2 linked regions of the Daphnia pulex genome follow. The protein of the gene in region 1 purifies or fractionates together with the protein of each later gene. This does not show direct contact. Links are inferred from orthologs where the notes say so. Each region holds a gene or a part of one and is shown on either strand. Other genes may lie near its edges.

Evidence for each region. The genes of interacting proteins can lie anywhere in the genome.
Region 2: the proteins of E3 ubiquitin-protein ligase COP1-like (region 1) and serine/threonine-protein kinase 40-like purify together in Homo sapiens (affinity purification with mass spectrometry; 3 studies listed by BioGRID and IntAct, counting the BioPlex papers as one, with this or other methods). This does not show direct contact. The link is inferred for Daphnia pulex from reciprocal best matches to the Homo sapiens genes COP1 and STK40.

What each region holds. Positions count from the first base shown.
Region 1 is NC_060028.1:8,376,209-8,382,560, forward strand, and holds E3 ubiquitin-protein ligase COP1-like, read left to right. Parts: upstream 1-2,569; intron 2,570-2,715; 5' UTR 2,716-2,761; coding exon 2,762-4,570; 3' UTR 4,571-4,746; downstream 4,747-6,352. Other genes in the region: uncharacterized protein LOC124208543, read left to right, coding at 1-78; NADH dehydrogenase [ubiquinone] 1 alpha subcomplex subunit 10, mitochondrial-like, read right to left, coding at 238-312, 377-491, 554-718, 788-998, 1,078-1,705. UniProt on the Homo sapiens protein: E3 ubiquitin-protein ligase that mediates ubiquitination and subsequent proteasomal degradation of target proteins.
Region 2 is NC_060027.1:4,337,909-4,343,450, reverse strand, and holds serine/threonine-protein kinase 40-like, read left to right. Parts: upstream 1-2,703; 5' UTR 2,704-2,876; coding exon 2,877-2,937; intron 2,938-3,004; coding exon 3,005-3,183; intron 3,184-3,244; coding exon 3,245-3,379; intron 3,380-3,441; coding exon 3,442-3,672; intron 3,673-3,745; coding exon 3,746-3,929; intron 3,930-3,987; coding exon 3,988-4,117; intron 4,118-4,181; coding exon 4,182-4,341; intron 4,342-4,407; coding exon 4,408-4,515; intron 4,516-4,576; coding exon 4,577-4,919; intron 4,920-4,982; coding exon 4,983-5,188; 3' UTR 5,189-5,353; downstream 5,354-5,542. Other genes in the region: PH-interacting protein-like, read right to left, coding at 1-102, 166-320, 387-563, 628-788, 858-953, 1,022-1,172, 1,683-1,742, 2,012-2,041 and 2 more; cuticle collagen 1-like, read right to left, coding at 5,392-5,542. UniProt on the Homo sapiens protein: May be a negative regulator of NF-kappa-B and p53-mediated gene transcription.

The DNA.
Region 1 (6,352 bases):
TTGCAACACAAACAAAGGCATGTTGTGCGAACCGAAATCCTTCAGCATCAACAGCGGTATTGCAACAAAAACGACTAATCTATTGTCCCTTTTATCTTCGAAAACAAAGAAAATTTCAACCCCGTTTGATACAAGTGTAGCTCGTGCACAATAAAATCAAATTTAATTCCATCATTTATATATTTCAACTATCGACAAAAAGTGATTCCTACACAAGTAGAGTCACAAGGTCTATATTTAAGACAATTTGAATAAAATTCCCTTGTCTCCCATTTCTGGATTAAATCCTTTGGCGAACTTGCAGCCCGGAGTCTAAAAAGAATTACCATAGTTATATTTTTGCACAAAGTAGTGTAACAAGTAATGATTCATTTACCTCATCCATTACAGCCGCGCGCACTTTGTTATCACCTGCGCCGATAACGATTTCGTTGCAATGGATCGGTGGCACGTTTAGATGAGCCATCAAGTAATGTTGAGAGTGGGTAAACCTGAGAAAGGTAAAATGGTATTGTAAGAAGGGAGCGTAATGCTTCAAGTTGAGAAAATTTACTCTTGACGACTGTTGTTCCAATCCCACTCGTTGATGCGCCTCCAGTCCTTCATCTTTTCATCATAGACGGTGTACTGATCGAAATCTATGCGTTCAATGTCCTCAACGACGATTTCGGGATCTGCCACTTTCGACCAATCGTAAACTAGAACTTCGGCATGGGTACTATTTCATATATCAATAAACGATTTGTTAAAATACGAAAACTCTTCTGGGCTTATAATAGAGAAATACCTGATATCCTTCAAATAGTCTTTCTTGTAAGAATCTACTAGGGCTTGGAGGTAAGCAGGAGTGGTAAGCATCGAGTCCTTTTCGTTGGGTAAGTTCCTGGCCTCAATTCGTCGACGTGTTTCATCAACAGGAACGTCCAGATAGATGACCAAATGAGGTCGCCACAGTGCAAACAGTGCATTGTTTCTCACTTGGTGGTAGAAGTTGTAAACTATATGGAAATGTTAATTTAATATTTTTAGCTGTTCTCTTCCATAACAAATAATAGGATACAGAGTTGAAAATCGTACCATTTTTGCTGATTACACCAGTTTCCGTCATGGCAGTCATGTAAGCAAGGTCACTGAACGGAGAACGATCCATGACGACTCCTTGTCCTGTATTCAGAATGTGAGCCAAAGCCTCCAAATGAAGTTTATAACGGAGGGAAAGCTTTGTTAGTTGGAAACGCGCAGCTTTGGAACCATTTCCCCGCATAGGGTCTTTCAAGAAATCGTTCTCATCATAACTCTTACAAGATTCTGGCAGTTTGTGATCTACTTGTCTTAGATCATAACCATATTTATTAATGTAGCAATCTGCTACATTTGGCGATGGAAAGTATGCCATATCCAATTCTTCAGCCAACTCTTTGGCTAGAGCCCTTTTCCCAGCAGCAGGTGGCCCTTCAACAACAATCAACTTTGAATTCTCATCTAATCGGCTGGTGGTGGGATCAAACAAAGCTCGTAAAAAGTTGTATCTCTTTTCCTTGTATGGGAATGGAGCTGGCTTTTTAACAGGGGGCAATCCTTGGCGCATTACTTTTCCAGAGATAGAACGCTGTCCTACTGTAATCACACATTGTTGTTGTTTCCTTGCTATGATGACAACACTTCCGCATAGCTTTGGAGAAGACACTCTGCTGAAGAAGACCATCTTGTATCGTTTTAAAGAAGCAAGTTATTCTTTACCAATCTGGTTAAACCCTGCAAACAATCAAAAACATTTAATATTTAACAAATTGCACTCCACATTTCTACTACAGCACATTAAATACAAACAAATTTAACTCTAATTTAATAATGAGTTGGAAGCAACGAAAACGAAAGTAGGCATGGACAGTTTGAAACTACCTCAAAGTTACGAAAATGCTATTAAATACTCAATTTGTACCGAAACAGTTAGTTTTTAAATTATATTAAGCAACCATAACATAATAATGAAAATAGTGTTTTTCTTTTACCAGACGGCCATGTAAAATTTTCTTTACCTTTCCTTCTGGACCGCCAACGTTGCCTTGCAGAAAGAACAATCTTAACAATGAATAAAAATATAATCAATATTTGTCCGATTGGCTAGAATAAAATTAAAATAAAATAAAGAAATGTGTAAATTTTAAAAATCTAATAATCTATACATTTTTGATTTGCTGTCATAACTTGGCAACTGAGTGAGTTTAGTTTGATATTCCAATATGGCGGCATCCATAACGCAAGTGTTCCGTGTCAACTCTTGTCGGCTATTGTACTGTAATCGTTTTTCCAAGGTCGCTTTCCCAGCATTCTCTACTCAGGCCACAAATCTTAAGGTGAATAATACTGAAGTTTCGCTATCGAATTTTGCATATCAATAACACGTAAATCTTGTACAATCTTAGAAAGGTAAAGGCCTGATTTTGGGAGGCTATTCTTCCAAGAAGACCGAAACCGACGTCGACTCTACAAAAGATTTCATTTGGACTCAGGCGGCTAAAAGTTTCAATGATCAAGTGGCCAATCGCTTAAACGATGCGTTGAACTGGTAAGCCCATCCAATAAGTCTTGATTCAATCAAAATTAGGTTTGATGTCAGACATATGTTGTGCATTCAGCAGCTAATCTGACCTGAAATTCTTTATAATGATAGAAACAAACAGAAAATTCTGACTTGTTTGTGATGTGTTTCAGGTCAGATCATCTGTAAATGTGACATACGAAAATTCAAAGCCTGAAGATGGCAGGCCGTGGGGTTAAGAGGGGTCCCCAGTCTCTTCTGTTTGGGGGTGTAAAGGACACGTATGAAGACAGAGATAGTGATCTTCTCTGCCCGGTCTGCTTGGATATGATGTCGGAACCTTACGTGACTACATGTGGGCACAGCTTTTGCCATGGATGTATTGTCAGAAGTCTGGAGTTAGCGAGCAAATGTCCCAAGTGCAGCGGTCCCCTCGACAGTAGTGGCCGAAACCCATCCGTTTTCCCCAACGTAACCCTCAACGCATTAATAACCAAACAGAAGAAGAAATTAGTCGAGAGTCAAGATGGAAATATTTTGATGAAAGACTTTACTACTCTGTTGGATACTCGGGATTGGCATCCATCAGAATTAGTTCGCATGCAAGAAGTTTTGCTTCGGAAACAATGTGATCTTGATGGAGAACGAAAACTGACCGAAGCCCAGCTACTTAACGAATTCCTCCAACAGCTCAAAACCAAGAAGAACAACGAGTTGAGAAATGTTCAACAAGAACTAGAGGTGCTTGACAAGGATTTAAATATGGCGCAAACCCTAAATCCTGGCATCGATTCTGCTGCAATTAAAGTGGAAAATTGTGAAGTCAACGAGACGGCCTTCAATTCATCCATCGCGTCCACACCGTTAAGCATCAGTCAACGTCGTGTAAGAATGCACCAACATTTCGAAGATTTAGAGGGGAAATACTGGGCACTTCGGAACAATCGTCTCGGTGGTGAGGAAGAAGAAAAGAAAAGTTTACTCGACTTTCAATCTAATTTGAACCAGTTAACGCGATGGAGTAGACTAAGGCCTTTGGCTAATTTGAGCTACGGAAGCGAACTCCTCAACACGGCACACATTGTCAGCTCGATCGAATTCGACCGAGATGCTGATTTTTTCGCCATCGCTGGTGTGACCAAACGCATCAAAGTGTACGACTACGCAGTGGTTGTACGGGATGCGGTTGATCTTCACTATCCTGTTATGGAGATGGTGGCGGGCTCGAAGATATCGTGCATATCTTGGAGTGCCTACCACAAATCGGTTCTGGCAAGCTCCGACTACGAAGGCAGCGTATCCGTTTGGGATGCGTCCGTCGGTACTCGTCTGAGGGTCTTTCAAGAGCACGAGAAACGCTGTTGGAGTGTCGATTTTAATCGCATGGACAGTCACTTGATGGCCAGTGGCAGCGACGATTCCCGAGTCAAAATCTGGAGCTTAAACGCTGAACACTCTGTGGCCACTTTGGAAGCTAAAGCCAATGTCTGTTGCGTCAAATTCAATCCGTACTCGCGTTATTGCTTAGCCTATGGCGCAGCCGATCATTGCGTCCATTACGTCGACCTACGTCAGCCCAAGGAGCCACTACGGGTCTTTAAAGGCCATCGCAAAGCCGTCTCTTACGTCAAGTTTCTTAGTGATCGCGAATTAGTGTCGGCCAGCACGGATAGCCAATTGAAATTGTGGACGGTTGAAGACAACGTTTCATGTCGATCTTTTCGCGGACACACAAACGAGAAGAACTTTGTGGGCCTTTCGACGACGGACGGCAGCCAAGACGATCGACGTGATTTGATTGCTTGCGGTTCGGAAAATAATGCCCTTTACCTCTACTCGAAGGGACTCAGCCAGCCTTTACTTCATTATCGTTTCGACGTTGTTAAAAGCGCTTTGCTATTGGACAAGGAGCGGGCCGAGCAAGAAGAGAGCGCCGAGTTTGTTTCTGCCGTTTGTTGGAAACCCGACTCCAACGTAATCGTCGCTGCCAACAGCCAGGGAACTATAAAAATTCTCGAACTGGTTTAGGGTGGTAATTTTATTGTCAATTCCCATCATCATCCATTTTGCGAATTTTCTATTTGGTTCTGGGTTGTCATTCCCCAATGACTTGAATGCTGTGTTCTGCCAAAACGTGATTCCCCTGTTGTGCCTAATCTTCATTTAAATTTTATCCTGCAAATACAGTTGTGAATTTCCTTTGACTATATTTTTCATTTTTTGTCGTTGTTATCCCCGTGTTTATTTCCCCTATCCCGTGTCCTCTTTCAATTCCAATCCCACAGGAGTGGAGTACCGAAGAAAGGCAAAGCTCGAGTGCTGTACGGACTAGATCGTGAGTTTCCGGCTGTAGCCGTCGTCAATTTGGGCCCAAATCCTTTGGATGATTCCACCATTTTCCAAAAAGAAAATATCTTGGAGGAGAGAGACACAGCCAGGGAGAATCTAAGATGCGGAATTGCAGGCACCTTATACTTGTCTAAAATCTTTTTTTTTTTTTCTTTTCTTAATGAATCGTATCTTGCAGCTGGTGTGAAGGCCTTGCAAGAAGTTGGAATTGAAATTGTTTCAGTCGACCCTTGTTCTGATGCCGAATGCGCTGCTGAAAGTGCCTCCCTGACCCGCTGGCAGTTTCAAGATTTGAAAAATGCCGCCAAACGTAAACCCGAACTCGATTTGGTATTGCACGGAAGCGATGAATATGGGTTAGCGAGAAAGAATTTAACGTAATTTTTCGACTTCGGCCTTAATTTATGTTTTGCTATTATTAAAGGGAGGCCCAGTGGGAGAGGGGTTTGACGAAAGCAGCTGGGCAGAACTTGGCCAGATGGTTGATGGAAATGCCCGCAAATCACATGACACCAACTATATTCGCTCGTCACGCAGTTGATTTATTGGGTCGTGCAGGAGGAGACGGAGTATCAATCAAAGTTGAAGCTCATGACGAAGCGTGGGCTTCCAACCAAGGAATGAATTCGTTTTTGGCAGTGGCTCAAGGATCTAGCGAGCCACCCGTTTTCCTTGAAATCACCTACAACAATCTACCAAGCAAAGAGAAGCCAATAGTCATCGTCGGTAATATCCTATTTCTTTTTTTTATATAGGATCATAGAAAGGCGACACTTATAACTTTTTTTTCGATGAATGGGGATAGGCAAAGGAATCACTTTTGATACCGGAGGTATCAGTATCAAACCTTCAGCCAATATGGATAAAATGCGTGGGGATATGGGCGGAGCTGCCTGCACTTTGGCCACCATTCTTACTGCTGCAAACCTCAGATTGCCTCTTCACCTTAAAGGTCTTTAGACGAATGACAAATTCTTTTCAAGCTGCTACAATTCTTATTTGATGTTTAGGATTAATTCCCCTAGCCGAGAACATGCCGGGTGGAAAGGCCATTAAACCAGGTGATGTAGTGAAAGCCATGAATGGCAAGACGATCCAAATTGATAACACGGATGCAGAGGGTCGACTTATCCTGGCTGATGCACTTGCTTATGCTCAACAAACATACCAACCCAATCTCGTCCTGGATATTGCCACATTGACGGGTACATTTTCAAAACATTTTCGTCGGCTAATCATGTTAAAACTGTTTGGTTTTGCTTCGTTGGTAGGTGCCATCAATGTTGCTCTTGGCAGCTCTGCGGCTGGGGTTTTCACTAATTCCAACGCCTTATGGCATCTCGTTCATCAGTCGTCTTTCACCACAGGTGACAGAGTATGGCGAATGCCTCTCTGGAAACACTTTCAATCTGCTTTAGGTAAATGATTTATGACATTTGTAAAGAAAACAAAAATTTGAAT
Region 2 (5,542 bases), on another chromosome or scaffold:
GCACAACCTGTAGCCATGAACGATCCACCAGGGCTAAAAGAAGCGCACAACATCTGAGCCTGACCTGGTCGAATCTTCTCATTGAACTTGTGTGGTCGTGGACTGAAAACGGAAATACTTGGATTAGAACAATTTCAATTTAATGCCACCCAAAATTAAACTTACAAGAATTTCGGTGTCTGGCCCGGTTCTGTGACATATTCCCAGAAGGAGACGGAGCCGTCGGAACTAGTCGAAGCCAGGTAACGGACGGAACCTCTATCGGCGGGACAAAAGTTGATGGAAGTGATTGTACCTCCATGACCAGTCAACACTGCAATCTGCAAAAATATTGAACGATTACAATTGAAATGCGCTAAAAATGATCAATAAATTTATGCACTTACAGGTGCAGTAGTGCGAAGGCACCACACGCGGACAATTTTGTCACACGATCCGGCAGCCAGTAGCGTGTTGTCGCAACTGACAGCGAGATCGGCAATCTCAGCTGAGGCACCGCGTAAAGTAGCTAACAAGCGACCCGTAACAACACTCCATATTTTGATCAATAAATCATCAGCTCCCTGCAAGTAATTGATTTAATATTTAATAAAATTTATACTTCAATAATGAAGATATCCAACACACCGTAAAAATATATTGGCCGGTCCGATCAAAAAGGACGCAATAGACAGCTGAAAGGTGGCCGAGAGTGCGGCAAAACAGTTGAACACGGCTATAAAGTTTAGCGGGTGTTGCACTCTGTGTGTCAATAGCTCCCGTAAACTCACGACCCAACAACAAGGGCACTTTGCGATACAATAAAATAAAATCAAGTCATTATCCTTTAAAATTATAACAATAATAATCTATTTTACCATTATTAGGTGGGTGGGCGATGTCATGCGGAAACAACCGTGGTCTTTTGTTCTGACGAACAACATAATGCTCGCGATGGAGCTTCCTGATGATATCTGAATATAATAATTTAAAAAAACGTTAATTATCTGAAATTGCTTGATAAAAACTATTTGTTCTTTACCCTCTTTGCGACGGAGGATTGACTGTCGTCCGGCGCCCAATAATGAGTGAACACCTTGGACATTGGTCGGCACTTCTTTGTCTACCAAGGGACCTAATCGCCTACACAATTCCAACAAGTGGTTGGGACCAACATGTGAGAAACTTTGGCACTAAATAAGTGAATCAGGAAAAAAAAAAACATTAAAAACCTATAATTTAAAATGATTAAAATTTCACCGATTTCCGGCTTACATCCGCATAGATGTACACTATGGATATATTTAGCGTGTCTCGGGTATAGCTTGGCTATGGCTTTTAGTCTCGACCAATGAGAGTCGAGCTTTGATCATGAGAATATAGCCCGAGGGGCGTGTGCTCTCTCCTGTGCTCGCGAGTCTTTTCTCGTGCGCAGGGTCCGCCATGTTTCCCCTTTCGGGGGACAACAGAGAGAACCGTAACGGCGCAAAAAAGTATCTTCGTTCCGAGCTGAGCATTTCAGAATTAATTTCTCGAGAATCCCTCCCCCCCTCCTCTCTTACTTTCTCATTCGCTTTCTAGTTTGATGTTTCCCATAGAATAACCGTAGACAAGATTTGTTTTTCACGTCACCATGACTCAACTGAAACCACCACGTACTTGCGATTGACAATTCAACTTAAAAATGATGAATGAAAACTTACCACTTGGGCATAAGTTTGATCGTGTTCATTCCCGAGCCAATCGATCCTTTTCGGTAACAACTGAAAATGATAAAATGGAAAATGAATCTTAGAGTCGAAAAACGGGATCATTGATCGGTTCGGCGACAGATAATGGGACAAGAAACAAACCAATAAGATTTAAATAGAAACAAAACTAAAAATAGGCATCATTTCAGGTGTATGTAATGTTTTGGTGGATGGAAAAGCACGTGCAGTCCACGTTGCGACGCGGACTCGAACGGACGGACCCTTTACACTTGTCTGTATGTGAAAACATAGGCAAGGTCAAAGTATTGCTATGCACTCACCCCATGCATCTCCAACTCCCGTTGCAGCGCCTAGGTCCATCGGCGGATCACACGAACGAGACAAAAAGACGAGTCAGTTTAGCCAAACTCAATTCGATTCAAACAATCATAATGATGAAATATCACCTCAGAAGCATTTTGGCAAGGCCCATGGCTGAGTAATCGGGCGATCAAGAAGTAGAGTTCTGTGAGAAGGCGACCAAACAAGGGGAGGGCAAACAGAGAGTTTCACTCGCCATTACAAATATGTTCTACACTCTACATGTTTTCCAATCTTACCTGCTGTCACAGAAGAAGGTCCATCACTTTGTCTACTTTGATTTGCGTAGGGTTTGATGTCCATTTTGCATAAACTTAAACGAAAACTGAGAGAACCACACACACTTATACACACACACACAAGTTCGACATGTCTCGTTCCCCTTAGAACAGAACAGCCATTGGGTTCTTGTCTGCTACTGCTATACTCTCTCCCCGTACCCAGAGGCGATTCAATATGACAAGGCAATATCGGATGAATAACGAATTCACCCTATCCTTCAAACTCGACTATTACAATTGAAATATTTAAACGTACGTGATTGAATACAGCTCATTCCGCTACATAGTTCTAATGAGTCTTTATAGGAATTTATATAATTTTTTTACAAAAAAAAAGAAAAGAAAAACGGTTACAACGGCGGAGGGATACAATGTAGTATTAAACTCTTGCTGAGGTGGTCCTAATTCTTGTTTTTATTTTTCTCATTGAATGAGCGGAGGTGATGAAACATGAAATGAAAGTTACAGAACTTTTCTTTGACGTTTGAGAATTTTTACGTTAAAAATAAACTGTTAGACATTGTCATTTAACAAATTTTCAATCATGAAACGATCGGCTTCTGATGATGATGGAGCCGGAACAACAAAGAAACAATTCTTTTCTGGTAACGCGAAGAATGGGTCTCTTGTTTTTCCAAAGTATTTTGTTTAATGTATTTTTTGGCTCTGTAGGGTCTTTTCCAGGTCAAACTTCAACTACTGTCTATCACGTGGGGGAATTGCATAATGAAAAAGAGGTGAAAAGAGCAGGACCTTTTGTCATAGGGCCTAGACTGGGAAACTCTCCTGTCCGCAGCATTACACAATGTTTGGCAAGGAGATCAAAAACCGATGAATTTTACACACTCAAAGTGGGTTAGCAATAGCAATAGCGATATTTTATGTCCACAATTTTAAATAATTATTTTTTAGATGCTTATAATGAAAACCCTTAATGAAGAAACTCAGGATGAAAAACAGGGGAAAATGTTGCTGTTAACAGAATATAGTCTCTTGTCCCTTCTGCATGATCAACCTGGAGTCATCCATCACCATGGGTTTTTTAAAGTATGATGTCATCAATCAATCTAGTCTCCTCAAGTGTTAACACAACATTCAAATTAATTCAGGATTTGGCCTATGAGGAACAAGAGCTTCGAAATGGAACTGTAGTCATTACTGGGAAGAAAGTTAAGAGGCTAAATCTTGTTCTTGATTGCCTCTCACCCAATGACTTTTGTCCCCACTCCCACAACTATGTCAATCTCCAGCAGTATGTCATCAAGGAGAAAAAGTTGACTGAGCAAGAAAGCCTTTGGATATTTAGGGAAATTGTATCTGTTGTCAACAGCCTTCACCAGGTAGATATAGTGTTTTTAATATTTTTATCAAGAATTTCATTATTAAAATGAATCCGTTTGTATGTAATTATAGAGGAACATTGTCCACAGAGATTTGAAACTGGGGAATTTAGTGTTGAATCGCCAAAACCGTCGTATAACGCTCATCAATTTCTGTCTGGGAAAGCACCTAGCCAACGAGGAAGATCTGTTACGAGATCAGCGAGGATCTCCAGCTTACATTTCTCCAGACGTTTTAAGCGGCAAACCGTATTTGGGTATGTAACTTTTTCTTTCTTCTTGATAGACGTTTATTAAATTTACTCTTGGATACAGGAAAGCCTTCTGATATGTGGGCTCTTGGTGTAGTTTTGTTTACTATGCTCTATGGTCAGTTTCCATTCTACGATTCGGTGCCTCAGGAGCTCTTCCGAAAAATAAAAGCGGCCGACTTTACCATTCCAAGGTTTGATGAAATAAAATCTGAATTCTTAAAATAATTTTAAAAACCTAACTTGATGCAAATCTAGAGATGGCCGTGTTTCAGACAGTACAACTCGTCTGGTTCAAAAATTATTGAATCTGAATCCTCACCAAAGACTAAAGGCCCACCAAGTAGTCCATGCTCTAGATTCTACTATAGCCACAGGGAATCTTCCATCTTCATCACCTGAACGATCATTGTTACAGGTTTGTGTCAAACTCATAAAAATTTTCATTAAGTTAATGATCAATTTGATTACTTTTGGGCTGTAGGTTGTCCCCGATATTGATTCTGATCAACTAGTCGAAGAAATAGAGACCATAGCAGCCAACCTTCCTCGAGGGGTATCGGAATTTGAAAGTGTTTTGCAACGTCTTCATGTAAAAACAAAATATTCAGTTCTAATTAATAACGGAAACCAATATATATTTGATTTTCTAGGCAATTGAGGAGTCAACAGGTAGTCTTCTGGCATACCATTCAGTCACTGTTCCTGGATTAAGTCCATTTCAAGTGGTCAAAAAACATGGAAACTCTAGTGCTCATCATGCTCATTTAAATCTCCTCTCTTCACTCGGTCGCCAACAAGGATCCATTCGAGCTTTAAGTACCGAACAGATGAATCGTTATCGGCACTTGTTACCTCCACGGATGATGACTCCCCATCAACAATTCCATGAAGGAACCAGCGCCACCGCTGTCCAAAGAATAGCTTCGTTTTCTTCTTATGTCGCCCAGAGCCCGCCGTCCTCTTCCTCTTTACCTCAATCCGCGCAATCATTACGTAAGGAATCTCATTATAATAAATTGCAAGTAATTGTTCTAATATTGAGTTTTGTATTTTAAGGAGTGGTGAACCCTGCATTTTTCCCACCCAATTTTCTTACTCAACGATTGCAGCAACTGCAACAACAACAACAACATGCGCAACAACAGCCTCCGGCTCCGGCTCCGGCTCCTTTAGCTTCAATCAATGGCACTCGTCGAATCGCTATCGACTCTCCGATCTCTTCGTCATCTCGACAGGAAGACCCATCTGAAGAGCCGGATTGAAAGCTTATACATCGCTGTGATTCTAATTGCTCTAAATAATCCCGCCAAGCTTCATAGTCTTGATACAAAGCCAAACGTACGCTTGTTTTCTGGAGTGACCATTCCAGCTGAAAGTATTTTATAATATCATTTATAAATTTTCAATAAAACAAACTAGTGTGTAAACATTTTATTTTGGTACTTTTGTACCACAATAATCATTACTAATAGCCGTAGAAATTCTTGAAAGGTTTGTTTAGGGACCAAGACTTGTAAAAGTTCATATAACCGTTGGGGTTGGATGGGATTGGATTGGATGGAATTGGATTGGATGGGACGCATAATCCAGTTTTGGTGTTGTATAGATAACCGTCA